Linked DNA regions of Macaca mulatta. The protein of the gene in region 4 interacts with the protein of the main gene of each other region in a biochemical or structural test. Links are inferred from orthologs where the notes say so. Each region holds a gene or a part of one and is shown on either strand. Other genes may lie near its edges.

Region 1 (4,578 bases), on a different chromosome or scaffold from region 4:
AGCCTGTGCCTTACCAATGGGGAAACTGAGGCAGGCAGTCTGAGAGCCACACACTGTTAGATACCTCCTAGCCTGAGGCCTAGGCCTAGGGCTGTCTGTCTTCCTGGAGATGCCCTGGGCCCGAGATGCCAGCCTGTCTGGGTGGGTGCTGGGCTTCGAGGTGTGGACCCTCAGAAACTGGGTGGGACTCAGCCTAGAGGCTTCCTGCAGGTCAGGGCCATGGAAGGCTGGGGCCCGTGAGGAGGCTTTTCTGGCAGCAAGGACTGAAGGATGCACTGGTAGAGCCAGGGGGCCTGGAGCCACCCCCTTTCCCTGGGATGAAAGGCTCTCCTGTTCCCAGCTGTGGGCCTGCCCCTCCTCCCCAGGTGCCAGTGGCTTCCAGGCCCCACAACAGGACCAGGGCCTGGACCGGCAGTGGAGGAGGTCCCTCAGCCAGGAGGGCCTAAGGGAGGGCTGGTGGCGGGTGGGGTGGGGCTGGGGCCTCCAGCTTCTAATGTTCTAACGTGCAGGGACTGGGCCTGTCCGGTCCTACCCTGGAACTTTTCTAGGCCCCATGTCCTGCTCTGCTGGGCTTGCCTGTTGGGATTCTACTGGGGTCAGGAAGGTGGGTGGCCCACAGAGCGGAGCTCAGGAGACCCCCGCAGTCCCTGGAGTAGCCACATGGGAGGGAGGCCCAGCTGGCAGGAGCTCCGAGTCCCTCCAATCCTGTGGGTCAGAGCCGATGAAGAAGCTCACAGGGCAAGGGAGTGTCCACGGAAGCACATGGGAGATGGGTCTCATCCCACCCCCTACCCCTGTCTCTGAGGGCAGGGCCACCTGGGGGCTGCAGGGCAGCGCATGGGTGGCTGGTGTTTATTCAGCAGGCTGGCAGGGGCTTCCAAGTTTTGCAGGGACCTCCAGTACTCTGGCAGCCTGCACCCTTCCCTTCCCTTCCCTTCTGTCCACCCTAAGCCTCCTAGGGGGCGGGCCGGGCTGGACTTCACAAAAGGGCTCTGCCCTCCTCCCGTCCCCCGAATGTCTTGGGGCGCCGCACCGGGAAAGAGTCCACCAAACACACATGCACACACCCACCCACACGCGCGCACACGCACATACCCAATGCACGCACTCACACACGCGTACACACACACGTGCACACGCATGTATACACGCACATGTACGGGCACACACGCAGGCATTGCACACACGCAGGCATTACACACACACCCGCACGGACGCGCACACACAAACACGCGCACACACGCACAGGGGAGGTCAGCCCCCAGCAGGGCTGGGGAGGGGTGCAGGGCGCGGCGTGTCTGTGGGCGCCGTGACGCAGCTGGGAGGTTTTTGGGCAAGTCTGCTAGAAGACTGCCGGCCCTGAATGGGGCGGGTTCCCGCGCGGTTGCGCGTGGGTCCCGGGAGCGGCCTCCGGCGCCCTCTGGCGGGCGGAAGCCGCGCAGCACCTCTTGGGGTCGGAACGCGCGGCCGCTACCGACTCCCGGCCCGCCCCAGCCCGCGTGCAGGACCCGGTCGTCCCCTTATGCTGTCCTGGAGCCCGGACTGAGGCCCCAGGGGCGCGGCGGGCCTCCCGGTCCCCGCAAGCCACGGCCAGTCAGCGCCTCGGCTCAGCCCTGCCCTCCGCAGCCGCTTTCGGGTGGCTCCGCCCGCGGCCCAATTTCCAGGCGACCGTTTCCCGGCGACGGCGGGCGGGGCCGTCTCTGCCGCCCCCCGCCGCGCGCTCCGCGGGCGCCTGCGACGCCCCGCCTCTGGCTCGGGTGCGGGAGCGGGGCCTGCCCGGGCTGCGACGCCGCCACAGCTCGGGGCCAGTCCGCCCAGTCAGGGGGATGGCTCGGGCGGCCTCGGGGGTCGACGATCCCCCGGGTGGGCGACGTGCCCTGTCCAGGCCTCACTTCCCGCGTCCGCAAAACGGGGCGGAGAACGCAGCCTAAGGCAGAGCCGTGCCAAGGTCCCTCGCCGTCTCCGGGCTCTGGCGGCCTGACCGGGCCTGGGGTCCGAGCGCGCCCGCGGGCCCGCAGGGGTCGCCGCGATGGACTCGCTGGCAGCGCCCCAGGACCGCCTGGTGGAGCAGCTGCTGTCGCCGCGGACCCAGGCCCAGAGGCGGCTCAAGGTGCGTGTGTGGAGAGGGCGGAACGTGGGTCTGTGACCCCGCGGGCCCCGAGACTCGGCAGGGGGTCCCCGTCCCCGCGCGCTGCCCGTCAGCGCCTAGGTTCAGCCCTGCCCTCCGCAGCGGCCTCGGGGGGTCCGCGGCCCAACGGTGGCCGATGTGCCCTGTGCAGGCCTCACTTCCCGCGTCCCCAAAACGGGGCGGAGAATGCGGCCGTGGGACCCCTCCAGGGGCCCCAAGGGTCTGCGGGGGCTGGGCGCCGGGGCGCGCGGGCGGGGTAGGCTCGGCGCCGCCGTCTATAAATAGGCGCTGCTCCGCCGCCGCCGCTGCCGCCGCCCCCGCGGCTGGATCCAGGCCAGGTGGGGCCTCCCGCCCCCTGGCACTCTCCGGAGGGGTGAGTGTCGAGGCCCCGAGCTTCTCTGGCTTATGGAGGGCCTTAAGTGTGTCCCAGGGGTCCCAATCCTGTTGCCCTGTGCCCGAGGAGGGAGGACACCGCCTGTGCCTGCTGCAGCCTGACATCTCCCCAAGGGACAAACACAGCCTCGGTCCCTGCAGAGCCCTCCCTAAGGTTGGGGCCAGGGGTGTCCTCTTCTGCCACCCCCTGGCCTGCCTTCTTATCTCCAGGCTTTTGCCCACGGGCCCTCCCCTCATTTTTGCCAGTGAAATGCCCCACCCTGGGAACCATACCCTCTGCTGTCTCCTCATCCTTCATTTGGTAAGAGACAGGGTATTGGGCTTCCGGAGAAACCTTTTTGTCCCTAACTTGTCCCACCCTGCCCCCAGGACATTGACAAGCAGTACGTGGGCTTCGCTACACTGCCCAACCAGGTGCACCGAAAGTCAGTGAAGAAAGGCTTTGACTTCACGCTCATGGTGGCTGGTGAGTGGGCTGGGCTCCTCGGGAGTGGCTGGGGTCCCTGGCCAGCCAAGCTCTGTCGTTGGAGCCCCAGACCTAACCCAACTCCTTCTCTGTACCCGTGTGCAGGTGAGTCAGGACTGGGGAAGTCCACACTGGTCCACAGCCTCTTCCTGACAGACTTATACAAGGACCGGAAGCTGCTCAGTGCCGAGGGTGAGTGGCCCCCAGGAGGCCCTGGCACTGATCCCCAGCCCCCTTCCATGGGACCTCTCCAAGCACTCCCTTCCAGGTCCAGCTCCCAGTGTTCTGTTCTTGCGGGTGGGTCCCCCCGGGGGTAGGGCCAAGGCATCAAGATGGATGAGGACAAGGGTCCTGGCTGCCAAGGGTGAGGGGCTGAGGGTTGGAGAGGCCCCTCCAGTGGCCCCTTCCCTGTAGAGCGCATCAGCCAGACGGTAGAGATTCTAAAGCACACGGTGGACATTGAGGAGAAGGGAGTCAAGCTGAAGCTCACCATCGTGGACACACCGGGATTCGGGGATGCCGTCAACAACACCGAGTGGTGAGCGAGGCCTACTGAGAAAGGCCCTGCCTAGGCGGCCACAGCACTCCAGGCCTGGCCTCACCTCCCTCCTGCCCACAGCTGGAAGCCCATCACTGACTATGTGGACCAGCAGTTTGAGCAGTACTTCCGCGACGAGAGCGGCCTCAACCGAAAGAACATCCAAGACAACCGAGTGCACTGCTGCCTGTACTTCATCTCCCCCTTCGGGCATGGGTGCGTGGCTGTCCTGGGGCCAGACTCGGGAGTGCACCCCCTTACAATATGGCCCCTGGCTGTGCCTATGCCCACGCTTGGCTGCTCTCGGCAGGCTGCGGCCAGTGGATGTGGGTTTCATGAAGGCATTGCATGAGAAGGTTAACATCGTGCCTCTCATCGCCAAAGCTGACTGTCTTGTCCCCAGTGAGATCCGGAAACTGAAGGAGCGGGTGAGCTTGCCGCCGCACAGGGGCCTGGCCAGGGCCCTGGGGCTGAGAGTACAAGGGGGACTTGACCGGCCTCAAATCTGACAGCCCTTGCCCCACCACAGATCCGGGAGGAGATTGACAAGTTTGGGATCCATGTATACCAGTTCCCTGAGTGTGACTCGGATGAGGATGAGGACTTCAAGCAGCAGGACCGGGAACTGAAGGTGAACATGCAGACTGCTGGGGCAGGGCGATGGAGGTGGCAAAGGCAGAACCAGAGGGCCTTGGCCTTGTCTCCTTCACACTGGGCCTGCTGGAGGAGGGCAAGGTCAGCCCAGTTGGGGGCAAGAGTCATTTGTTCTAGGAGTAAAGGACCTGTACCCCCTTCATCCAGAACTAGAAGGTAAAGGTCACCATGTCTTTGCTTGGCTGGGGTGGGTCATGCGGGCCCCACATGGTGCTTGGCAGGTATGGAGCACTTGGCCAGATCCAGAAGTGCAACAGTGGGCCAGGCCCTTAACCCCAACCCTCTTTCCATGGGTTACCAGAGGAAGGGGCTAGCCCAGTGGCACACCCTGGCTCCCAGATTTCTGACCTCCAGGGTTGGTGGCTTCAGGTACCCCAGCAACTTGAGTGGTGATAATGG
Region 2 (3,951 bases), on a different chromosome or scaffold from region 4:
ATTTTAAAAGGCCTACTTCTAACAAACCTTTCTTCATCCCCCTGTATCTTGCTTTGCCTTTCTCAGGTCCTGCCCTAGGAACACGCTCTCTCTCTTCCCTGAGCAAAGGCTACTGATCTCAGGAAGGCACAGGCCAGAAGTGACCACCAGTATTCTCAGCAGCATATACACACTCCAGAGGAGCTGCCAGAAACACTGCTGTGATTCACATCTCAAGTCAACAGCCAACGCTTTCAAAAATGTACACCAAATACCAGAAACGGTGTTGTTTTCTTTTTTGAGATGGAGTCTTGCTCTGTCACCAGGCTGGAGTACAGTGGTGTGATCTTGGCTCACTGCAACCTCCGCCTCCCGGATTCAAGAATTCTCCTGCCTCAGCCTCCTGAGTAGCTGGGACTACAGGTGCGCGCCACCACGCCCAGCTAATTTTTGCATTTTTAGTAGAGACGGGGTTTCACCATGTTGGCCAGGATGGTCTAGATCTCCTGACCTCGTGATCTGCCCGCCTCGGCCTCCCAAAGTGCTGGGACTATAGGCGTCAGCCACAGCGCCCGCCCAGAAACGGGTTTTTATTAGTGAAAAGAAAAAGTGTTTCTCTTTGGTGGAGCTGGAGGTACACAACATACAGTCAGTTATGCGAGGCTTTACGACAGGGTTATGATCTGAGAAAGGCGTCCTTGGGCGATTTTATACATCAGAGTGAACATACACAAGCCTACAGGGTATGGCCTACTTACATACCTGGGCTTTAGGATACAGCGTATAGTTCCCAGGCTACAAACCTGTAGCGCATTTTACTGTACTGTATACTGTAGGCAATTGTAACAAAATGGTGTATATCTAATCCTGAGAGGTCAGGAGTTCGAGACCAGCCTGCTCAACATGGTGAAATGGCATCTCTACTAAAAATACAAAAATTAGCCGGGTGTGGTGGCAGGTGCCTGTAATTCCAGCTTCTTGGGAGGCTGACACGGCAGAATCACTTGAACCCAGGGGACAGAGATTGCAGTGAGCCAAGATCGCGCCACTGCACTCCAGACTGAGAGACAGAGTGAGACTCCATCTCAAAAAAAAAAAAAAAAAAAAAAAAAATTTCAATGAGGCCCTTAGAATTGAGCTCAAATCTGGATTCCCAACCAATGCTCCATACAGACATCAGTTTAGAAGAGTTTTTCTTGTTTTCATGTACGTAATACAAGGGTAACTAGATTCTGTCACTGAAATGTTGCTGTGTCTCCCAAGGTGGTGATGTTGAAAAACTACAAGAATAGATCTGAACTTCACCGGGCTCACATCCCAGGTGTGGTAAGTGGGTAAGGATCTGGCTGCATCAAGCATCTTTTGGTGAAAAAACTGTTAGGAAATTTGCTTTCAAATAACAGTAAGGTTAGGAGGAAGCACTTCCAGATGGTCTTCAATGGCTACTGTTATCTGCCAAAAACCTTAATCATGTGGGGTGGCCAAATTCAGTTATCTCAATTTGTAAAACTCATCAATGCAAACTACTATCAGGAAACACATCAGCAAAATTTCGGATTGGCAATCGTTATCACAAACACAAATGTCCACACGACGGTTCAACTCTACGTATCAGCCTAGCCTGGCAGAGAAATAGCTCCAAATCTTCTTTTCCATCAGCTGTTTTCTGAGGAGGAAAAGAGCTACTAACTCAGAAAACCTAAAAACAACTACCTGACCATCACCAAAAAAACTGTTTGATGCATCCAAATCCTTACCCACTTAGCACCATTGAGATGAAGGTTAAATGAGAAAGTATAGTCCAGACCTCAAGAAACTCAGATCTAGATCTGTCCCTGTCACTCAGTTGTTGGCTTTAAGAAGGTCACTTCCTTTTTTTCCAATACCTGAACTGCTGTAAAAAGCATGGAAACTTGTATCAGTCACCAATGTAAGGAAGTCTTGATGCATCTTTGTGTGTGTGTGTGTGTGAGATGGAGTCTCGCTCTGTCACCCAGGCTGGAGTGCAATGGCGCTATCTCAGCTCACTGCAACCTCCACTTCCTGGGTTCTAGCGATTCTCCTGCCTCAGCCTCCTGAGTAGCTGAATTACAGGCGCGCGCCACCACACCCGGCTAATTTTTTTGTCTTTTTAGTAGGGACAGGGTTTCACCATGTTGGTCGGGCTGGTCTCGAACTCATGACCTCGTGATCTGCCTACCTCAGTCTCCCAAAGTGCTGGGATTACAGGGGTGAGCCACCGCGCCTGGCAGATGCATCTTACAAAACAATACATACTAGTAAATTTAAGTTAGTCTGCAAACACTCAGAGCAGAAAATACGACTGTGGTCTTTGCATCTAGAAATGTACTACACGAAATATTTTTAAAATTCTACTTCTCTTCTACTCTTATTTAATACCACTACATTGTTGTCTATCCTTAAGTCATTGGTTTAACAATTAATAGTCAGTTAACAGGTTATCATATAGTCTAACAATAACTTTCAACAAACTAGGAGAAAGTGACCATTAGTTTAGTATAGGATAAGAACACCTAGATTCTAACCAGTATTCAGTGGGGACTCAAGTAGAGAACCACGAAAATAGACGATCTTGAAAATTCTCCTTAGCCTTCTTAATACACTGATGTGTATAATACATTCTCAATTAAAATGTCCAAAAAATATACAATTATCCTGCCTCCTGAATTCAAGTGATTCTCCTGCCTCAGCCTCCTGGATAGCTGGGATTACAGGTGTGCCACCACGCCCGGCTAATTTTCATATTTTTAGTAGAGACAGGGTTTCACCATGTTGGCCAGGCTGGTATCAAACTCCTGACCTCTCAGGTGATCCACCCACCTCAGCCTCCTAAAGTACTGGGATTGCAGGCGTGAGCCACCACACCCAGCCTGAAACTATTATTTTTAATAGCAATAGGTCTTAGACATTAGAGATTCAAGGAGAACACGAACACTCTTCGATGATCCAATTCAGTACAAAGGATACTGAATACAGCCATTTCTCCTGCTCCTTAAAAAATAATTTCATTTCAGTTTGCCAAAATACTTGTGTTTTTGCTTTGTTTTGTTTTGAGATGGAGTCTCACTCTGTCACCCAGGCTGGAGTGCAATGGTGTGGTCTCAGCTTACTGCAACCTCTGCCTCCTGAGTTCAAGTGATTCTCCTGCCTCAGCCTCCTGAGTAGCTGGGACTACAGGCGCGTGCCACCACACCCATTCCCAAAGTGCTAGGATTACAGGCGTGAGCCACCACGCCCAGCCTGCCAAAATAGTTTTTAACTCAGTGTATTAAAAGAGCTCCATTTTGAAGATGTCAGTCCCATTATACTTACTAAAGTGTATCTGGAGGGCCAATAATAAGGACTTCCCATCGGTAGAGATCATTGTCATCTATTAAACCTGCAGAAAAGCCTTCCACTGGATTTTTGTTGAGTTCTGTGGAAAAAGCAAAGTTTAATCAATACATTTAAGCACAAAATTTTCATCCAATAGATAAATTACAGAACTTGAGCATACATGTTATATATAAGTTTTAAACCATCAAACAGATATACCTTGCCAGGCAAGATGCTACTTGATGGCCAAAATATTTTCATGTCTATACTGTAAGAAAGCCCTGGGTAAAGCAAACTCTCCAGAAGATCAACTTCTACTGGTGTCCAGCCAGGCTCTTGTCATTCTGGGTGGCCCTACAGTGGTCTTTTAAGGAAGCTTATTAAAATGCAGATATCCAGGCCCATCCCCCAGAGATTCTCGTTCGAGGGAACCCCAGAAATCAAATCAAGTTGGCAATTCTTAAGCTGCTATCTTTAGGGTATGCTTTCAGAGTGTCTAATCATACCTTTTCATTGGAATATACTGAGCTTAATAACTTTCATTTGTACTAACATTTGTACTCCTATTTGACATGTCCCTGTAGTCGTGGGGACCTGCTCCTACAGTGCTCCTGTGTGCCCATCCATCTCTGAGCA
Region 3 (3,951 bases), on a different chromosome or scaffold from region 4:
GCGCAGTGGCTGACGCCTGTAATCCCAGCACTTTGGGAGGCCGAGACGGGCGGATCACGAGGGCAGAAGATCGAGACCATCCTGGCTAACACGGTGAAACCCCATCTCTACTAAAAAACACAAAAAACTAGCCAGGCGAGGTGGCGGGCACCTGTAGTCCCAGCTACTCGGGAGGCTGAGGCAGGAGAATGGCGTAAACTCGGGAGGCGGAGCTTGCAGTGAGCTGAGATCCGGCCACTGCACTCCAGCCTGGGCGACACAGCGGGATTCCATCTCAAAATAAATACATAAATAAATAAATAATAATAAAAATAAACTTCAGCACTAAGAAATGAGTTTATTATGAAGTGCTCTACACATTTGGCTGGAAAAAAGTACATCCAAGCCTTCATCAAACTGGAAACTCCCTGAGGGTGTGGACTGCCTCTCCCAAAGGCTTGGCGTTCTCCAACACAGTAGCTCTCTGAACTTTCTCTTGGGTAACCCTCAGCAGCTTGTTCTTTAAAAGCAGGAACCACATCTTTCCTTCTTCTCTATCTCCCTCTGGTGCCCAACACTGTCTCTGCCCCAAAGTTCCTCAAAGGTGTCAACTACCCAAGTGCCCCAAAGGAATAATACCAAGCAAGCCCTCTTGACACATACCGTAGGGGTTCAGGACAGGGACACTTTCCTTCCATCATGTCACAGACTGCAACTCTGATGGTCTCGTGCCGGATACATTCATTATAGTTTTTGCTGTCTCCTGGATGTCTCTCCTGTAATGTAACAGATGCCAGAGTATCCCAAAATTTAAGCAAAAAGAAAGGCAATGGGAAGAGACTTCAAGATTAGTATGGGGTATGTAAGCCAGTCATACAAACTAAAAAATACCTTTCCCACTGTATGGCAGATCCATGAAGAGCAACCACACCTTTATTTTTGACACCATTCACCCCACCACCCTCCAAATATACCATCAGGTTGCAGGTCATTTGGCCTATAACCAGCAAACTAGATCCACATCATTTTCCTGAATGTCAAGTGAAAGGCCTATCAAGTAAAGATTACGAGGGAAATAACCAAACATAAGAATGATGGTAGGGTTGCTAAGCCTTGTGGCATGCACCAGTAGTCCCAGCTACTCAGGAAGCTGAGGTGTGAGGATCACTTGAGCCCAGGAGTTTGGGTTCAGCCTAGACAACAAAGTAAGATCCTGTTTTTTCAGTTTTTCTTTTTGGAGACAGGGTCTTTGCTGTTGCCCAGGCTGGAATGCAGTGGCACAATCATAGCTAACTGCAGCCTTGACCTCCTGGGATCTAGGGATCCTCGAACTCCTGGGCTCTAGCAATCCTCCCACTTTGGCCTCCTGAGTAGCTGGGACTAAAGACATTAGTCACCACAGCGGGTCCCAAGTTTGTATTTTTTATTATTTATTTGTTTTTTGAGTTTTGCTTGTCGCCCAGGTTGGAGTGCAATGGCACGATCTCAGCTCACTGCAACCTCTGCCTCCTGGGTTCCAGCAATTTTCCTGTCTCAGCCTTCCAAGTAGGTGGGATTGTAGGTGCCCGCTACCATGCCTGGCTAATTTTTTATTTTTTAGTAGAGACGGGGTTTCACCATGTTGGCCAGGCTGGTCCTGAACGCCTGACCTCAGGTAATCCACCCGCCTCCCAAAGTGCTGGGGTTACAGGTATGAGCCACCGCACCCAGCTTATTTGTCTTTTATTTTACAAATTTTTAAGAGGCGGGCTCTTGCTTTGTCGTCCAGGCTGGAAAGTGGTAGGCATGATCAGAGGTTACTGCTGCCTTGAATTCCTGGGCTCAAGCGATGTTCCTCTCCTCAGCTTCCCAAGTAGCTGGGACTCAAGGTGCATGTCATAATGCCCAGCTATTTTTTTTTTAAATTTTTTCAGTAGAGACAAGGTCTCACTAGGTTGCCCAGGCTGGGAAACACTTGTCTTTTTAGGGGGAGAAAAAAAAAAGAAAGAAAGAATGATGGTGGGACAAAAAGGTATAAATGAAGTGAAGAGTCAGCGTGGAAAACCTTTAGGCACCAACAAGTAAAGGATGCTTCCTGATTAACCCCTTTACCTGTTATATGTCTCTAGGGTCCCACCATCATTGAACCAATTATTATAAATCAGAAGTAGGGCTGGGCCCGACGGCTCATGCCTGTACTTCCGACACTTTGGGAAGCCGATGCAGGCGGATTGCTTGAGTTCAGAAGTTCAGGATCAGCATCGGCAACATGGTGAGATCCCGTCTCTATAAAAAATACAAAAATTAGCTGGGCATTGGTGATGTGCACCTGTCGTCCCAGCTACTCAGGAGGCTGAGGCGAGAGGATGGCTAGAGCCCAGGAGTTCGAGGCTTCAGTGAGCTATGACTGTGCCACTGTACTCCAGCCTGGGTGACAGAGCAAGACTTTGTCTCAAAGAAATAGTAAAATTAGAAATAAATCTAGCAGAAGCAGAACTTAAAACTTTCAAAAGATAAACTTCAACTTTGGTCTAGAAAGCCAATATAAACAGGATCTCACTATGGTGTGAATGGAAGGGGAGTACAGCCTCCTCTTTACTTTTTCCTGTGCTCTTCTCTTACCACCAACCCCAGTCAATTAGAGCCGTGGCCTCTGATAAAAGCAGCTGATGGGCCAGGCGCGGTAGCTCACACCTGTAATCCCAGCACTTTGGGAAGCTGAGGCAGGTGGATCACGAGGTCAGGAATTGGAGACCAGCCTGGCCAAAATAGTGAAACCCCGTCTCTACTAAAAATATAAAAATTAGCTGGGCGTGGTGGTGCGTGCCTGTAAATAAATAAATAAAATAAAAAATAAAATAAAAACAACTGCAAGTCATTGTAGAAGTAAAAAATAAAAAACACAAGGCTGGGCATGGTGGCTCACACCTGTAATCCCAGCACTTTGGGAGACTGACGTGGGCAGACTGCTTGAGGCCAGGAGTTCAAGACAAGCCGGGCCAACATGGCGAAACCCCATCTCTACTACAAATACAAAAATCAGCCAGGCGTTGTGGTGTGTGCCTGTAATCCCAGCTACTTTAGGAAGGCTGAGGCACTACAATCGCTTGAACCTGGGAGGCAGAGGTTGCACTGAGCTGAGATCACACCACTGCACTCCAGCCTGGGTGACAGAATGAGAGTCTGCCTCCAAAAAAAAAAAAAAAGATAAGACCTACAAATCAGCTCCTGCTAATGAGGTCTATTTCAATTAGAATCTCCTCCTGAAATGACTGTTTGGAGAAAGGATGGATTAGGGAATAATTTTAGTTAACTTTTGAAGCCAGACTCGGTGGTTCACGCCTGTGATCCCACCACTTTGTGACGCTGAGGCAGGCTGATCACCTAAGGTCAGGAGTTCGAGACCAGCCCGGCCAACACGGTGAAACGCCATTTCTACTAAAAATACAAAAATTAGCCAGGCGTGGTGGTGTGTGCCTGTAGTCCTAGCTCCTCGGGAGGCTGTGGCAGAACTGCTTGATCCTGGGAGGTGGAGCCAAGATCAAGCCACTGCACTCCAGCCTGAACGACGGAGTGACTCCGTCTCAAAAAAAATTTTTTTTTTCATTTTTGAAAGGTATTTTGTTATCCTTTGTTCAGGTCTATAGAGAAATAATCAAAGTTGGTGTCATCTGTAGTAGTTTAAAAATAAATTAAGCTGGCCAGGCATGGTTGCTCACACCTGTAATCCCAGCACTTTCGGAGGCCAAGGCAAGTGGATCACCTGAGGTCAGGAATTCGAGACCAGCCTGGCCAACATGGTGAAAACCCTTCTCTACTACAAATACAAAAAATTAGTCAGGCATGGTGGTGCGTGCCTGTAATCTCAGCTACTCGGGTGGCTGAGGCAGAAGAATCACTTGAACCTGGGAGGCAGAGGTTGCTATGAGCCGAGAATGCACCATTACACTCCAGCCTGGGTAACAAGAATAAAACTCTGTCTCAAAAAATAAA
Region 4 (4,611 bases):
TCTTTTAAGCTTTTCTATTCTGCTTTATATTATCTTGAAGTCCTTCTCCACACCTTCCACAAAGGCACAATTTTTAACCGACTTCAATTAAATTACGTTTCCATAGCTGCCCAGGTCAGGGCATTCAACATATCAATCGCAGTCCAGGTGGGAAATGTAAGGACTTATGAAACAGTCCTCATCCCAAGAAGGGAATCTTTGGTTTTGAGAAAGTAAAAGGAAGGTACATTCCACTAGCAGTTAGGTCGCAGTCAGTCCTGTTTACTCCTCTTCTACCAGGAAACCCATCTTTACGTTTCTCCAACTGGCAGAATATTATTTGCATTAAGGTTGGGGCGGGAAATTAAAGAAAAATAAAATTAAAAAGAAAAAGAAATAAGTTTTCCTGTTTTAGGCTAACTTGTCCCAGAGGCAGCAACAGCACAGCCCAGATCCAGGAAGAGTCTTGATAATATTATCGAATGTGCTCTGGAGACTCTCCCAGCACTCCCTCAACACAGGGAGAAGAAAAACAAATTTTCCTTTGTTTTATGGAATCAGTTTATAGACTCTTGTTCTCTGTAACTAGTGATTTCAAGTATTCTGTTTTATCTAAGAAGTACAACGAAGGTCATGAGAAGCCTGAGTAGGCCTGAACTACAGCTGCCTGGGCACCACAGTGAAGGTTATAGGATAAGCCTGTGCCCAGGGAAACCTAGATAACGAACATCTGGGTTGCTTGGCGATGGTCATGTGCAGTCCTGCCTTTGTCCTGCCTCTGTATCCCTGCTTTGCCACCACTGTAAGTTTGCTTCAAGCTAGCCCACCTCCTTTTGTGAAGTGTGTATAAAAGTCAAGTACTGTCTTTATTCTGGGCCCAGTCTATTGCATGTGAGTCAGCTGGGCCTGAGTGCACTCGATCAAGATTCTCCTGTTTCAACCTGAGGTCTCTCTCGTCCTCCTGAATCCCGCAACAAGGTGAGTGTAACAGAGAAAGCATAGGCCTGAAAGGAGCAAGCTTTGAGAAGCACTCTTACCTTTAACAGAAAATCCCAGATACATACTATTTACATTTTGATCTCCAACTGATCACTGGATAGAATCTATAATGTCTTTCCTGGCTCTGAATTTTTGTCACAAAAACACAAAACCCATCACTCCAAGGCTTCCTTTTAATGGTTTTCACTTTCACCTACCTTTAGCACTGTTCACCACACCCAAATCTCAAACTGGCCATTCAGATGTTTACTGAAATGTGGCTAATGAGGCTGGGCATGGTGGCTTACGCCTCTAATCCCAGATCTTAAGTGCCTGTCTTCATATAGCTTTACAATAAATTTGTTTCTCTTAAAATTATCTGTGCACTAGATTAAGTTAAATTAAAATAAAATGTATTTAACTGTCTTCAAAATAAGGTATAGGCTATTTTCTTCCTGTAGACTACTGATAGCACGGATTTTGGAAAATCTCTTCTACTTGGTTTTCTGATTCAGTTCAGACTTGTGCTTACAAGTGAATCTTACGTAAATGTCACCTAAAAAGAGCTCAAGAAAACTCAAAAAATTATAACTTTTTCATAATTTGGTTAACTTTCAAGTCATTCACCAAAAGTCAGACCATGCTAGAAAGGGAAGAAAGGCTGGACAACATTCTTGTTTTACCACAGAGACAAAGACAATGCCAGTTAGCTGGCTTGATTCTCCCACTGATGGGCAGAATGTTTACATTTTAACAATAACTTCATAAATAAAAACAGATGTAGTACGTGTTTTCAGTGCATAAAGATCATATATTTTATGAATCCACCTCTCACCTTACTTCTGGACAGACCACATCTGACTTCGAACGTACTTACTGCAATCAAAAGTGTTTTGTAAGGGACGCTCCTCAGGAATTAGCCCTAAACAAGCTCACTAAACCCTCCATACATAACCTGGAGAAACTTCCACAATAATGAAACCCCATATAGCACTGGCTTCTAAACATATGGTGCATTTCCATTCATTTTTAGGGACAGCCCCTAAAGTAGTTTTTGGTTCAACAACCCTGGAAGAGGACCTTTGCACCTTTGCTCATCTTACACATCAAGTGTTCATGAACAACTCTGATGCCACTAAGTTTTGTTCACAAAATTGCACCTCGGTCATTGTGTTTTACCAAAAAAAAACAAAAAAAACAAAGTTATTTTGCAAAAGGCAGTAGATGTAATCTTGGCTATTATTTACTCTCAATTTTTCTTTCACCTCAGCCCTCCAACGAGAAGTTTAAAAGGAAACATCCGAGGGAGCAAGAAGTTTAGATTCATCTGGAGGAGTTTCTGTGGCGCCCAGCCACCCTCACCAGGTGCCTTCCATTAGAGTTTAATGCTTTGCTGGGGTTTCCTGAAAGAGCCCCACAAAGAGTGGGTCTCGATGGGTCCTGAACCGCACGACAACTGGCCAGGGCCTCGAGGGCGAGGGGCGGCGGCGGGGCGAAGGCTTCGGGACCCTACACGGTCCGGGGGACCATGAGCGAGGACCGGGGGTGCGGGGCCGCCTGGCGTCCCCGGTGAGGCGGTCTTCACGGGAACGCTCAGAGCAGGGGCGGGCGGGCGAGGGCTTGGAACGCACACACTGGGGCCCCGGGCCCGCGTCGCTGAGCTGGAGAGCCCGGCGGTGCGGGCCGGGTACGACATGGGCACTTTGGCCCCGTCACTGACAGTTGGCACCTGGGGTCCAGGTCGGCCGAGGCCACACCGGGGCGCAGGGCGGCGCAGATGAGGCTGTACCTGGCAGGTACCCACGTACCTATCATGGTCACTGGGCAGGTGGCGGCTGCGGGCCAGGAAAGGGCCTACGCGCGCACCGGCGCCAGCCAGCGCCTCCCACCAGCGGCTCTCCTGGGTTAAATCTTCCAGGGCTCCCCGCCCCGGCGCCGGGCCCTAGGAATGCGCACGCGCGGAGGGTACGCGGCCCAGGGCCTGCTGGGAGTCGTAGTTTTAATGCGTAGTTTCTCCTCACGCCTCCTGCCCTCCAGCTCACCGCCGCCTCCCTTTCCGGCTTCAGGCCCAGCAATCGTACGTCACCGAGGGGCGGAGCTATGCGCCCGCAGTGTTGACCAGTCGCTTAGCAACCGGGAGGCTTACCTTTGGAAGCTTGTTGCAGCTCTAGCTACGGTCCTGCCCTCTTCCCGCCCCACCCCTCCCCTAAACTCCCTTCACCTAGGAGCTGCCAAACATCTGGATCAACCTGGGCACTACGAGGGGTTGAATTTCTACCATTAACGCGCCTTTTGACATTTTTTTCCCGACCTCCTGCTCACATCCGTAAAACCCACTGATTCTTTTACTACACTTTTTATGAGAACAAGACATTTTCTAGGAAGATGGTGGCAGAAAAAGAGACCCTGAGCTTAAACAAATGCCCAGACAAGATGCCGAAGAGGACCAAGCTGCTGGCACAACAGCCGCTCCCGGTGCACCAGCCTCACTCCCTGGTTTCTGAGGGCTTCACAGTCAAAGCCATGATGAAAAACTCAGTCGTAAGTGATCTTCCTGAATTGAATGCACTCGCTCCGTATCAGGGGACACGAGATTTACAGAGGTTGGCCAGCCCTAGGATGGACTCTGAGCCCATGTCCTGGGTGGTCTTTGCCAAAAATGGCAATTACTTGGCAAGTAGCAGACGGTCCCCCACAGTGTGTGGGGGGCAGGCTAGGTTGTTAGAATCCTGGGCAAATGATATACTCTGCCCATTGATAAGCACCTTCCTGATAACTCATCGTTTCTAAACCGCCCAAAATTACTCTTACGCTATTTACACGAGGTAAAAAGATCCCCTTTAATTACTGATTGCTAACTAACCCCACTCAGCAAAGGGCCTTACAGAAGATGAGCTCTTAGAAATCATAAACTCTTGCAAAATTTAACATGAGCTGATATACAACTGGGAACATAAACTCATTAAATAATCTATAATGAGAAATTTTGGAATATCCTAGCAGTTACTCTAACAACACTTGTCTCTTAGAAAATGATGTCATCTTGTTAGAGTACTGAAAGCCCACTTAATATGAACACTGTTTCCTGACAGGCCTTTTAAGATGATGTGCTTTAAACAATACAAGCTTTAGCTCATGTGTCTCTGCTACTAATACAATTCATATTTCATCTGCATTATTTGTAGTAACAAAAATAAAATATTCTAAGTATCATTAGAGGAAAAAAAGATTAAAAATACATACAAATATTTTAGCTGTCTGCATGATAGTATCTATTTTTTAAACCTTCCTATTTGTTACATAGCTTTACACTTGGTATGCTAAGGCAGATTTTGCTACTGAGTAAGCACCTGTCTGGGAATGAGGCATTAAATAATAAATGCAGCTTTCAAATTCATATAATTTACACCCTGGGAAGATCTGAGTTATTACATGTGGCAATTCATTATGTTAAATGAGTAATGTTGTTTTCCAGTGTCACATTATTTCCTTTGCTTATATGTTGTAAACCTAATAACTTATTCCTAAACGACATACTTAAAATACATGAATGAAACAGATTACCTATAGACCTCTAGGCCAGGTTCCCATGTGGTTATGCAAAATGATATCCTAATTATTGAGAAGTGTGTCAGGTGATTTACAGTAGTTAAA
Region 5 (3,951 bases), on a different chromosome or scaffold from region 4:
CGCCTCCTGGGTTTACGCCATTCTCCTGCCTCAGCCTCCCAAGTAGCTGGGACTACAGGGGCCCGCCACTTCGCCTGGCTAGTTTTTTTGTATTTTTTTTAGTAGACATGAGGTTTCACCGTGTTAGCCAGGATGGTCTCGATCTCCTGACCTCGTGATCCGCCCATCTCGGCCTCCCAAAGTGCTGGGATTACAGGCTTGAGCCACCACGCCCGGCAGACGACTACTTTTTACTGTAATTCATCTTGTTCTTTTGAATTTTTGTAACCACATGCATGCATTACATACTATTAAAAAAAATACAGACTGGGCGCAGTGGCTCATGCCTGTAATCCCAGCATTTTGGGAGGCCAAGGAGGGCAGACTGCTTGAGCTCAAGAGTTTGAGACTAACCTGGGCAACATGGCGAGACCCTGTCTCTACTGAACATACAAAAACAGCTGGGCACGGTGGCTCATGCCTGTAATCTCAGTACTCTGGGATGCTGAGGCAGGTGGATCACCTGAGGTCAGGAGTTCGAGACCAGCCTGACCAACATGGTGAAACCTTGTCTCTACTAAAAATACAAAATTATCTAGGCATGGTGGCGTATGCCTGTAATCCCAGCTACTTAGGAGGCTGAGGCAGGAGAAGTGCCTGAACCCGGGAGGCAGAGGTTGCAGTGAGCCGAGATCGCACCATTGCACTCCAGCCTGGGCAATGAGAGCGAAAATGTCATCTCAAAATAAACAAACAAACAACAGCTGGGTGTGGTGGTGTGTGCCTGTGGTCCCAACTACTGAGGAGGCCAAGGTGGGAGGATCACTTGAGCACGGGAAGCAGAGGTTGCAGTGAGCCAAGTTCGCACCACTGTACTCCAGCCTGGGTGACAGAGTAAGACTCTATCTCAAAAAAAAAAAAAAAAAAAAAAAAAAAAAAAAAAAAAAAAACGAAAAACAAACATACACCATCCGGACCACACCAATCCACCTATCTACACTGTACCTCAACTACAGCCTGGTGCAATAGAGCAGACTGTGGGGATCCAAGCCTATTCCATCAATGTCTCACTACACTGATATCGGCAAGATCTCTTTATGCCTCCCTTTCTGCAAAGATGCAGGAATTACAGCAATACCTCAGTCAATGTTAACTCCTCCCTTCTCTTTATGGACTCTGAAGGACTATTTATATGAAGACCACAAAATTACATATGCCACCTCCCTTACAACAATACGCTTTGGGTTTGGTAAGCTGTGGGTCTGATCCTGGTTTTCACTGAAAACTGCATGTGTATATGCACGTACGTCCACACACCTCTCCATGAATGTGTTCATCTGCAGGAAGAAGCCCACATGCCAGGCTTCTGTGGGGGAGGGGATATTAAAGTGGTCTTTCGCTCTGGGAAAGCTAATCTATTATTTGAATTTTTCTAATTGAGGATGATTACTATCATTATAAAATATATCTTTTTTTAAGGAAGAATCTTATTGTAAAAAGTGTGTCCAAAACCCAACAGATATTCCTCCTATTTTAAGTAACTTGCTAACAACAAAACTCTAGCAAGACAATAAGAGAATCATACTGGGCCCAGGAACTTGTAATATCACGGAACCAATCCTCAATAAAGCGTCTTCATAAGGCTAAAAGAATGACTCCTACTGTTTACTTGAAAGATTCTTTAAACATCTTCCTGGTTGAGCTTTCCTGCAATAATTTATCAATCCGACACCAGGACCTCTGGGTTCCCCTGCCCCGGGCCCATCAGCCCCCCTGCCAAGGGTCCCCTACCTTGCCATCAGAAGCAGTGTTGATCCTGTAATGGTACACCCTCCCTTCGTATCTCAGCGAGATGGACCTCTGGCCAGGACTGCTCTCACTCTCCCGCACCAAGAAGCTGCCATTGATCCCGCTGCTCAGCAGATACTCAGCGGCATTGCGGGACACAGGCCCATGGTACCAGGAGTGTTTCTCCAGACTGTTGACTGGCGTGATGTAGTTGCTTGGGACCCAGCCTTGGCCATTTTTGGTTTGGGCTTCACACCATTCCCCATTGTGATTATAGCCTAAGACCCGGAGCTTTTCACCTTAGAAGAAAGGAACCAAATCAGACATATCAGCTCTGGAAACCAGCTTCATTCTTTTTCATTGATTCTTGTGTAACTACTAAAGATTTCCAAATTCCTAAATGCCAATTTCATTTTAACAAGTCTACTTAAAGATATGCATTTATAAGTGTATGAGAATACACATTTATATCTGAAGCTTCCTGTTTGTACGGAACAGATAGGTAAGTATATAGCCTCAGTTTTTATAATCAATTATGTTTATTCAAGTGCTCTGTTCCTAATATAAGACAACATTTTAGGGAAATAATGCTTTTTCTTAGGGGAAAAATTGCATTCAGTATTTTGTTCAGCTGTCCCTTTCAGTATAAAACATAGGGCAAGTTCTGTTTTTGCTCAGGGCTATTGTACAAGAACTCCTCTAAGGAGAGGCGACTCCCTTAGAAACATGCAGTTGTTGTTTTGGATATCCCTGCATTCCAGATTTCAAAGCTGCTCCTTCAATGAGCAAAGGGTGGCAGGTCAAGCCGCAATTCCCAGATCTCTGTTTCCTGCAACCACCACTAGCTGCCCACAACCCTTTTACCTTTAGTTATGCTTAGAGTGTTATCTCCACTGGCCACAAAATCATACAGTGCAACGAAAAGGTTGGGGTCATTTTCACTGGGTCCAGCGAGAAGGTTTTCCTTAGAGTTCCAACGAGCGGCTTCACTCAGACCCTGAGGCTCAAAGTCAGATGCTACTGGCCGCTGAAGGGCTTCTGGAAGAGAAAGGGGGGAACAGAAAAAAGAAAAAGCAAGAGAAAATCGGGAGAAAAAATTAGTTTTATTTTCAGAAGCATAAATATTTATGTTTCCAACATTATACATCCCTAATTTATTTCATTTATTAACATCTATACATACTATTATTATTAAGGTGGTTTTAAAAAAAATCTTCCTTTACTAAATCTTGTGGAAAACATTAAGTATTTTCATTCCAAGGCGGTAATTACTGTTCCCCAATAGTTTGAGCTTTTAAAATTCATTGATTCAATATAAGTTTAGTCAAATTAAAACAGTCTATCCACATATGCGTTTCCCTTTGCTTAAAATATGCAGTGAAAGTTTCTTGTTTTAGCCGGGCACGGTGGCTCACGCCCGTAATCCCAGCACTTTGGGAGGCCAAGCTGGGCGGATCACCAGAGGTCAGGAGTTTGAGACCAACTTGACCAACATGGTGAAACCCCGTCTTCATTAGCCATACAAAAATTAGCTGGGCATGGTGGCGCGTGCCTATAGTCCCAGCTACCCGTGAGGCTGAGGAAGGAGAACCGCTTGAACCCAGGAGGTGGAGGTTGCAGTGAGCAGAGATTGCGCCACTGCACTCCAGCCTGGGTAACGAGAAAGTCCGTCTTAAAATAAAAAGAAAGAAAGAAAAAAAAAAGAGGCCAGGTGTGGTGGCTCACGCCTGTCATCCCAGCACTTTGGGAGGCCGAGGTGGGCGGATCATGAGGTCAGGAGATCCAACATGATGAAACCCCGTCTTTACTAAAAATACAAAAATTAGCCGGGCATGGTGGCAGGTGCCTGTAGTCCCAGCTACTTGGGAGGCTGAGGCAGGAGAACTGCTTGAACCCGGGAGGCGGAGGTTGCAGTGAGCTGAGACGCGCCACTGCACTCCAGCCTGGGCGACAGAGTGAGACTCCATCTCAAAAAAAGAAAAAAAAGAAAAAATAAATAAATAAGAAAAATCAAATTGTGCAGAAGGGCTTAATATGAAAGATAAATACTTTCTATCCCAGTCCTCTCTGCTCCTAGAGGCAGAGCTGTTTTTTTGGTGATCACCCCCACCTCTCTTAAGTATCAGCTGGAGCCCTATTCTCAGCAACAGACACACACCTTCACTGCTGGTTCTTCCAGCTAGG
Region 6 (3,951 bases), on a different chromosome or scaffold from region 4:
TAAATACATAATACATTTTTATTTTGTAATTTGTTTAATGACTAGATTTTTTTTTAACCTCTTTTTAAAGTCCTAAAGTATTGTTGGCCGGGCACAGTGGTTCACGCCTGTAATCCCAGCACTTTGGGAGGCCAAGGTGGGTGGATCACGAGGTCAGGAGTTCGAGACCAGCCTGGCCAAGATGGTGAAACCCCATCTTTACTAAAGATACAAAAATTAGCTAGGTGTAGTGGTGGGTGCCTGTAATCCCAGTTGCTTGGGAGGCTGAGGCAGGAAAATTGCTTGAATCCAGGAGATGGAGGTTGCAGTGAACTGAGATCACTGCATTCTAGCCTGGGTGACAGAGCAAGACTCTGTCTCAAAAATAAATAAATAAATACATAATAAAATAAAATAAAAATAAATAAATAAAAAGTCCTAAAGTATTGTTAAAACAATTTCCATTTTGTAATTTCAGGAAGTTTGAAATTAATTAGATTTCTAGGATTTTTTTGGGGGGGGGATACTCAAATTCTCCCCCGTTACATTTTTCATAATGTTAAAAAAAAAAAAGTTTGTGCCTTTTACTTAAAATTTGTTTCTCTATTAATTTTTTTTTTTTTTAGTGTCTTACTCTGTTGCCCAGGCTAGAGTGCAGTGGCGCAGCCTCAGCTCACTGCAGCCTCTGCCTCCTAGGTTCAAGCAATTCTCCTGCCTCAGCCCCCCAAGTAGATGGGACTACAAGTGTGCACCACCACGCCCGGCTAATTTTTGTATTTTTAGTAGAGATGGGGGTTTAGCCATTTTGGCTAGGCTGGTCTTGAACTCCTGAACTCAGGTAATCTGCCCGCCTCGGCCTCCCAAAGTGCTGGGATTACAGACGTGAGTCATCGTGCCTGGCCTGTTTTTCTATTAATTTTTTAAGTTGCTCATGTACATTCTTATTGAACAATAATTGAAACAATATAGACACATATAAAGTCAAAATGTTAAGTGTCCTATTCTCATTCTACCTCTGCCCCATCCCACACTACTCCTGTTAGCAACTAGAGTGTCTTCCTTGGTCTGTGACTACCTGTATACAATATATCAGGTGGGGGTGCTTGTGATGATTGTACTCATACACGCATACATCTACACATAAATACATATATCATTGTCTTTTACAGGAAGGAGATTATACTACCCCTGCTACTCTGTAGCATGGACATCCTTGCATGTCACTATATACAGGTTTTTTGCATTTTTTGCTAGTTAAAATAACATTCTGTCATATGGATACACCTTAATTTATTTAACTGTTCTATTGGCAGATATTTAGGCTATCTCCTGTGCTTCCCACATTTAAAATAGGGAAGTGTTACTGGACTGTCACTTTAATGCACAGTTGAAATTAAATGTTTTTGTTTTCTTTATGTTTTAAACTGTTACAGGGACCGTATGATGTGGTGGTTCTACCAGGAGGTAATCTGGGTGCACAGAATTTATCTGAGGTAAAAATTCTACTCAATTATACCTCAATAAAGCTGGGGGGAAAAAAACTAAAGAATTTCAGCATCTGCTTGTGTTCTGTTGATTTTGTTATTATTCAGATGTTTCAGGGAGGAGGCTGTGAAAAAAAAATAGAAACAACTAAAATTAACAAAATGGTGTTGTAGCATTAACTCAAAAATTTCTTTCTTTCTTTTTTTTTTTCTTTTTGAGACAAGAGTCTTGCTCTATCATCCAGACTGGAGTGCAGTGGCACAATCTTGGCTCACTGCAACCTCCGCCTCCTGGGTTCAAGCAATTATTCTGCCTCAACCTCCGAGTAGCTGGGACAGGCACGCACCACCTTGCCCAGCTAATTTTTGTATTTTCGTTAGAGACGGGGTTTTACCATGTTGGCCAGTCTGGTCTCAAACTCCTGACCTCGTGATCCACTCACCTTGGCCTCCCAAAGTGCTGGAATTATAGGCATGAGCCACCACACCCAGCCTCAAAAAAACGTTTTTAATATTTTCTCTGGAGGTCAGGCGCAGTGGCTTACACCTATAATCCCAGTGCTTTGGGAGGCTGAGGCAGGAGGATTACTGGAGGCCAAGAGTTTGAGACTAGCCTAAGTAACACATCGAGACCCCATCTCTACAAAAATTTTTGTTTTAATTAGCTGGGCACAGTGGTGCACACTTGTAGTCCCAGCTACTCGGGAGGCTATGGTGGGAGGACGGCTTGAACCCAGAAGTTTGAGGCTGCGGTGAGCTGTGAATGCACCACTGCATTCTAGCCTGGGCAGCAAAGCAAGAACCTGTCTTATCCAAAAAAAAAAAAAAATTGCCGTGGAAGTAAGCTGAATTGGTGGAACCGTTATGAACAGATTTCGGTGAATACAGTCCAAAGTAAGATGATTTAGTTTTTTTCCACCAGCAGAAGAATGATCAGATTTTGTGTTTTGGGAAGGGCAAATTGTCTACTCAAAGTCTGAACTGGGGGAGGCTGTGGGGCTAGGGCTGCCAGCAGGAATGACAAATGCCATCAGCAGACACCACTGTTCCTCATTTTAAGTTGTATGCGAGGAGTCAGAGGCCAGGGTGAGGGGCACACCAGCAGGCAGAGTTGGGGCTGCCAGAAGCACTCAAGAAGTGGGTTGAGTCAGACATGAGGGATCATTTCCTGCTAGATTCTCTTCCTCTATCTGCCATCTGAAAACACCCAAAACACCACATTCCCTCCTCCTTTTTGTTTCTCCATGGAGTACAAAATGGCAAGGGTCAAATTGCTTCTTTCTTCTGATCTTTAAATGTGGAGGAATGCGTTTCTCTTATGAGAAATGCCTTGCTTGGGTTTGATAATATAATACAGACACGTTTTGATCATTTTTATACCAATGATTTAGAAATATTGTTGGAAAATAGGTCAGAGAGCTTGTGGTTTAAGCTAAAATGAAATTCTTCCAAAGTTTCCTAGTGAGCGATTGGTTAGTGGCTTAATGATAACTTGACATATTTTTGGTTTTCTTTTCACTAGTCTGCTGCCGTGAAGGAGATACTGAAGGAGCAGGAAAACCGGAAGGGCCTGATAGCCGCCATCTGTGCAGGTGACGTGCAGGGGCAGCCTGTGTTGCAGCGTCATTGGTGGGTGGGGTAGCCTTTCATTCGGTGGTTTGATTTCTTTTTTTTTTTTTTTTTTTTTTTTTTGAGACGGAGTCTCGCTCTGTCACCCAGGCTGGAGTGCAGTGGCCGGATCTCGGCTCACTGCAAGCTCCGCCTCCCGGGTTCACGCCATTCTCCTGCCTCAGCCTCCCGAGTAGCTGGGACTACAGGCGCCTGCCACCTCGCCCGGCTAAGTTTTTGTATTTTTAGTAGAGACGGGGTTTCACTGTGTTAGCCAGGATGGTCTCGATCTCCTGACCTCGTGATCTGCCCGTCTCGGCCTCCCAAAGTGCTGGGATTACAGGCTTGAGCCACCTCACCCGGCCGGTGGTTTGATTTCAAATAGCTCTTCCCCTTCATAAAGCATGCAGGGCGTCTATGTTGGTGTATTTAGTTTGGGTGGCATGAAGGTGGTGTCATTTCAGAAATGAGGACAATTGTTCCGTTTTCTGCCTCTCCATGCCTTTGGTCTACGTGCTGTGAAACTTAGTGTTTTCCGTGTTTGGTTGACCTCGGAGGAAAATAAGGCCCTCTGGAATTCAGTAAACAGCTTGTTACAGCAGGTCTCTGTGCCAGAAAGTCTTTGTGCCAGCACACAGTCAGCAAGAATCCGCCAAACATCAGCACAGCAGCTCTGCCCTGTGCTTGCCCTGCAGATTCAGAAGCGCCGTGGTGCTTTCTGCTGGCTTCCGGGCGTTTCTGATTCTCTCACTGCCGAGTTATCTTGGGCACCGCATTATCTGCCACACAATTTAGAATAAGGACATTTGGTGCTTCACAGATGTCCCTCATCTTTGTATCCTAGTAATATTTTATTTTCTCATAGCCATTTTAAAATCCA
Region 7 (3,951 bases), on a different chromosome or scaffold from region 4:
GGCCCTTGTTTTATTAATGGGCACTCATAAACCTGGCTCATAGACTGAAATTGTGTTCATAACGCTAATGTTGAGAAATTTCAGAATGGCAAGGCCTTGCTTCTCCTGAGATCAGCAAAATGGTGATGAAAGGAGCTTTTGGTTTATAATCAACACTGAAATAAAATTCAAGCTCTGTTTCAAAGTTCCGATTCTGATTGGAGGCTGACTCACTCCACCATGACAGGAAATTTAATTTCAATACTTTCTTAATACTTGACTCCATTAAAACAAAGATTGAAAGCCAAAGTCAACTAGGAAATACAGCAAAAGTTTGTGAACTGAGAAGAATCTTCTGGCTGACACTGGAATAAAGCCCTCCAAGGGGGACTAGCGACCTAAGACCTAGTTACCATTACATCAGTGCCTGCTTCTACTTGGGGGAATAGTTGTAGTTTTCTTCTTCCTTGGTGTTATCCTCTGATGAAAGGTGCTCCAAGTCCATGATTTAAAAGCTCATGCAATTCAAAGCAAAGCATGTCAAGGCCGCACAACACATCTCCTAGCACCACGTACCGTGCGTAGTTATGCAGATGCTCTTCAATCAGCGTGTTAGAGGAAAGATTGATGCAGCTGCTGTACATTTCCTAGAGAGGTGCAATTAAAAATCATCTGAAAACATGCAACAAGCTCAGCACATGCACAAGCCCAGTAAACACGAAGCATGCAGGAAGACAGATTAGAGGACAGTGGCTTAGTATGCACTTTAAGGAGCATGGGCAACTGAGATGATTCTTCTTTTACTACTGAGTAGCAGAACCCAGTAAGTTACCTGGTAAAGTTTTATTTGAGTGACTTAAGTTTTGACACATTTGACTCAAAAGGTCTGGTGTTTTGGGCACAAGTATGCCTTTTCTAGCTGAAACAAACACATGATGTAGTCTTCTATAATAAGGACAATTTACAGACAAAATTGATTTATAATTTAAAATTTGGTGTTCAATTAATTAGAGAAATACTCACTAAAACTTGATTTGGGTACTGCAAAAAGAATATGGACAGTTCTTAAACCTCATTGTAATGGGATTCTAACGTTTATAGCTAATGATAAATCACAAAGATTCTGCAGCTCCACTGGGTGGTTTATCTGGATCACGTGGAGAATGATCTAGGTCATTCCATTCCACAGAGAGTTTTGCATTTTGGCTGCTATACCATTTTTTAATGGCATGGCAAGTGCAAAGCTTGCAGGAAACATTGCCTAAAAAGATGTTCATATCTCTTATCCACTAGATATAAATCACAGATTATAGTGCATGGGTTTCCAATGAAGGCAATTATAAAATGTAGTTCATGGCATACTCTGCCATCCCCTGTGGACTGGCAAGCACTTCAGGTTCCTATAGGCTCCAATCAACACTTAGGAGTCTGTGTTGTAAAATACCTATGTGGAGGTCCCTGTGGTGTATTCATTTCAAAGGTCATCCCAAAGTTGTACAGTTAAGTCTTTAGAAACAGAGCATCTATTTATGTACTTTTTAATTGAGCCTGAGAATAAACTATCACATCACATGAAGAGAACAAACTCTTCCTTGGGACAGAATCAGTGCCAATGCAGGACTAAACTTGCACTGACTGGTGGTTTCATCTTGCAGAAATGTCTCCAAGTCTAGCATCCCTAACACCTAAAGATTATGCCATTTAGGGAAATTTAGGGACCAGAATATAATCTCTTATGACTTCTTTTTTAACATTTCTCTCTTAGAATATTTTCCAAAAGAAGAGCAAGGAGTATGTATGTAACAAGACATGTCTCATTAGACACATTATTTGGCTTTCCATGCATCCCTTTGGATTTTTTTTTCTGGGGATTCCCTCAAGGTAGCATGGGCCCACAATCTGTAGTATTAGGGACAACATAATCCATTTGAAGGAAGAAAAAAAGAATAGTCTCCAAATAGCACTTACTGCCTTATTCTTTCCTTTGTTAGTGGAGCTGGCAGGGTTTCCCTTGGCATCTGTTGTCTTTCTCCCAAGTGAGGTCAAGGGCAATGTAGAGGTTTTCAGCTGGTTGGCTGCCTGGTAGTTATTATTATTGTTTTGGTTGCCACTTAGTGTCTCCATGATAGATCGAAAGGCTCCAAAAGGCCTTTTCAGTTGATCCCCTGATTCGTTACTTGTGGAGGTCCGCTGGAGAGTCCTGCCCTTATCTTTGTCTTTTTCTCCATTCAGTTCAAGGCTAGGCTGCTCCATCTGCACCACAGGCTCCTCAAAGGTGACTCTCAGTTTTAAGTTCTGAGATGTCCTGCGCTTGGAAGATGGAGACTTGAGGGCACTCTTGGGACTTGTGGCAACTTTCTGGGCAGCAGTGCTGTCAGGGTTGGGCTGTGGAGGGTCACCAGAGGGCTGGTTTGGAGGAGTACTCCCTGAGCCTGGATACTGGGATTCCAAGTCTGGTTCACTGCTCTCTGAGGTGGGCGATGGGCTATGGCCATCCAGGGATTTGGAGGTCTTGATGCTGAAAGGAAACCTGCGTCCCCCTGATGCCAAGGTGTGTTTCTTGATCATCAGGTGCAGGCTTTCTGCGCTGTCCATACTCTCTACACTTTCTACAATGGGCTGTGGCCTTGGTCGGTCAGCCTTCCTCACTGGGGTATTCTTGGGGTCCTCAGAGTTGTTGGAGTCTGTGTCAGACTCACTCAGTGACCTCTGCATCAGCTGTCTCAGCCTGGCTAACTTCAGTTCCCTCTTCTCCAGTGGGATCTTTTTAGAATTTCTAGAGGAAGCCTGAGCATCCTGGAATTCCAAGGACAGTTTTTCCTGGGTGCAGACATTTTCTGAGATTTCCTTTCCCAATAACTGGCGTAGGATTTTATCAGAATCTTCGTCTTTTGCTTTGGGTCTAGCCCGGCTGGAGGCTGACAGGCTTCCAAGAACCTGAATCCCCTCTTGGACTCCTGGCTTGCTTTTGGCTACAGAATCATCATCTGCATCTGGGGATTTCCACTGGGACTTTCTGCAGGCAGGTGAGGATGGTGAACTAAAAAGAAGATGAAGGACATATGAGATGATTTCCTACTGGGTTGAAATGATTCAGCCACAAGTCGCTACATGGCCTTTACTGCCACTAATAATGTACAAGTAAATAAGAACAGAATACAAATAAGTACTTAATGTCTCTTCAAAACAATGTGCAAATACTCCATAGTATCAGCTATAAGGTGCCTTATGCCTTTGGCTATAACTACCATGACTACTAAATTTGTCTGTTTTACTGTTTATACATCAATTTTGCATAAATGTTCTCAGCTAATTCCATTTTCAACAAACTTATCAAGCTATATCTATATCTATATCTATATATCTCCTATTTCCACTTCACAGATGAAGAATTAAAAGATTCAATTCTCACAAAAGAGTAAGTGACTTGTTTATAGTCGTGGAATGAAAAATAGCAGAATCAGAGAATAGAGTAGGTCTTCAGACTCTAGGTCCTGTGCCTTTTTCACTGTGATTTCTCATTTTTATTCCCCTTTATAAGAAGAAAATGTTTTCTGTTGTCATCCTCTTAAAATATATCAAAGGAAGTTCAGAAGAAGGCTTAACAATTTAGGATACTTAAGAATGCTAAACAACAATGTGCTGGTATTACCTGGGTGAAGAAGGGAGTGACTTGCCCTCTGATTTCTGGGCTTCTAGAAATTGTTGGAGTTGGTTCTGCAGCGTGACACGTTCTACTGTTTGTCTGGGAAAACAACCAAAACACATGAGGTCTCTGATACTGGCTACTGCTATAAATTAGGGAGTATAATTTTTTTCCTAATAATTTCCAGTAAGTTGCAATAAATACAAAAGCCTTAAAATGTGCATAATCTTCAGTTCAGAAATTTTCCTAAGGAAACAATCAAAAGTACCCCAAAAAGATATTTATTGCCAATATTAATGAAAAACTGTAAGTAACCTAAATGCTTA

What was found.
Region 1: of the proteins of PRKN (region 4) and SEPTIN5, one has a biochemical effect on the other in vitro, tested with the Homo sapiens proteins (2 studies listed by BioGRID). The link is inferred for Macaca mulatta from reciprocal best matches to the Homo sapiens genes PRKN and SEPTIN5.
Region 2: the proteins of PRKN (region 4) and UBE2G1 form a complex in vitro, tested with the Homo sapiens proteins (5 studies listed by BioGRID). The link is inferred for Macaca mulatta from reciprocal best matches to the Homo sapiens genes PRKN and UBE2G1.
Region 3: the proteins of PRKN (region 4) and UBE2Z form a complex in vitro, tested with the Homo sapiens proteins (2 studies listed by BioGRID). The link is inferred for Macaca mulatta from reciprocal best matches to the Homo sapiens genes PRKN and UBE2Z.
Region 5: the proteins of PRKN (region 4) and ABL1 form a complex in vitro, tested with the Homo sapiens proteins (2 studies listed by BioGRID, with this or other methods). The link is inferred for Macaca mulatta from reciprocal best matches to the Homo sapiens genes PRKN and ABL1.
Region 6: the proteins of PRKN (region 4) and PARK7 form a complex in vitro, tested with the Homo sapiens proteins (2 studies listed by BioGRID, with this or other methods). The link is inferred for Macaca mulatta from reciprocal best matches to the Homo sapiens genes PRKN and PARK7.
Region 7: of the proteins of PRKN (region 4) and SNCAIP, one has a biochemical effect on the other in vitro, tested with the Homo sapiens proteins (3 studies listed by BioGRID). The link is inferred for Macaca mulatta from reciprocal best matches to the Homo sapiens genes PRKN and SNCAIP.

What each region holds. Positions count from the first base shown.
Region 1 is NC_133415.1:32,983,472-32,988,049, reverse strand, and holds the start of SEPTIN5 (septin-5), read left to right. Parts: upstream 1-1,734; 5' UTR 1,735-2,029; coding exon of another isoform or gene 2,030-2,110; 5' UTR 2,111-2,264; coding exon 2,265-2,501; intron 2,502-2,890; coding exon 2,891-2,987; intron 2,988-3,092; coding exon 3,093-3,179; intron 3,180-3,401; coding exon 3,402-3,525; intron 3,526-3,606; coding exon 3,607-3,741; intron 3,742-3,835; coding exon 3,836-3,953; intron 3,954-4,054; coding exon 4,055-4,156; coding exon of another isoform or gene 4,157-4,191; intron 4,192-4,578. UniProt on the Homo sapiens protein: Filament-forming cytoskeletal GTPase. May play a role in cytokinesis. May play a role in platelet secretion.
Region 2 is NC_133421.1:5,803,203-5,807,153, forward strand, and holds part of UBE2G1 (ubiquitin-conjugating enzyme E2 G1), read right to left. Parts: intron 3,416-3,951; coding exon 3,313-3,415; intron 1-3,312. UniProt on the Homo sapiens protein: Accepts ubiquitin from the E1 complex and catalyzes its covalent attachment to other proteins. In vitro catalyzes 'Lys-48'-, as well as 'Lys-63'-linked polyubiquitination. May be involved in degradation of muscle-specific proteins.
Region 3 is NC_133421.1:61,086,056-61,090,006, forward strand, and holds part of UBE2Z (ubiquitin-conjugating enzyme E2 Z), read right to left. Parts: intron 756-3,951; coding exon 643-755; exon of another isoform or gene 595-642; intron 1-594. UniProt on the Homo sapiens protein: Catalyzes the covalent attachment of ubiquitin to other proteins. Specific substrate for UBA6, not charged with ubiquitin by UBE1. May be involved in apoptosis regulation.
Region 4 is NC_133409.1:9,424,557-9,429,167, reverse strand, and holds the start of PRKN (E3 ubiquitin-protein ligase parkin), read right to left. Parts: upstream 2,872-4,611; 5' UTR 2,773-2,871; coding exon 2,766-2,772; intron 1-2,765. Other genes in the region: PACRG (parkin coregulated gene protein), read left to right, coding at 3,343-3,498. UniProt on the Homo sapiens protein: Functions within a multiprotein E3 ubiquitin ligase complex, catalyzing the covalent attachment of ubiquitin moieties onto substrate proteins. Substrates include SYT11 and VDAC1.
Region 5 is NC_133420.1:16,719,177-16,723,127, forward strand, and holds part of ABL1 (tyrosine-protein kinase ABL1), read right to left. Parts: intron 2,806-3,951; coding exon 2,632-2,805; intron 2,067-2,631; coding exon 1,771-2,066; intron 1-1,770. UniProt on the Homo sapiens protein: Non-receptor tyrosine-protein kinase that plays a role in many key processes linked to cell growth and survival such as cytoskeleton remodeling in response to extracellular stimuli, cell motility and adhesion, receptor endocytosis, autophagy, DNA damage response and apoptosis.
Region 6 is NC_133406.1:232,823,818-232,827,768, reverse strand, and holds part of PARK7 (Parkinson disease protein 7), read left to right. Parts: intron 1-1,412; coding exon 1,413-1,472; intron 1,473-2,985; coding exon 2,986-3,055; intron 3,056-3,951. UniProt on the Homo sapiens protein: Multifunctional protein with controversial molecular function which plays an important role in cell protection against oxidative stress and cell death acting as oxidative stress sensor and redox-sensitive chaperone and protease.
Region 7 is NC_133411.1:131,435,216-131,439,166, reverse strand, and holds part of SNCAIP (synphilin-1), read right to left. Parts: intron 3,725-3,951; coding exon 3,632-3,724; intron 3,020-3,631; coding exon 1,948-3,019; intron 627-1,947; coding exon 556-626; intron 1-555. UniProt on the Homo sapiens protein: Isoform 2 inhibits the ubiquitin ligase activity of SIAH1 and inhibits proteasomal degradation of target proteins. Isoform 2 inhibits autoubiquitination and proteasomal degradation of SIAH1, and thereby increases cellular levels of SIAH.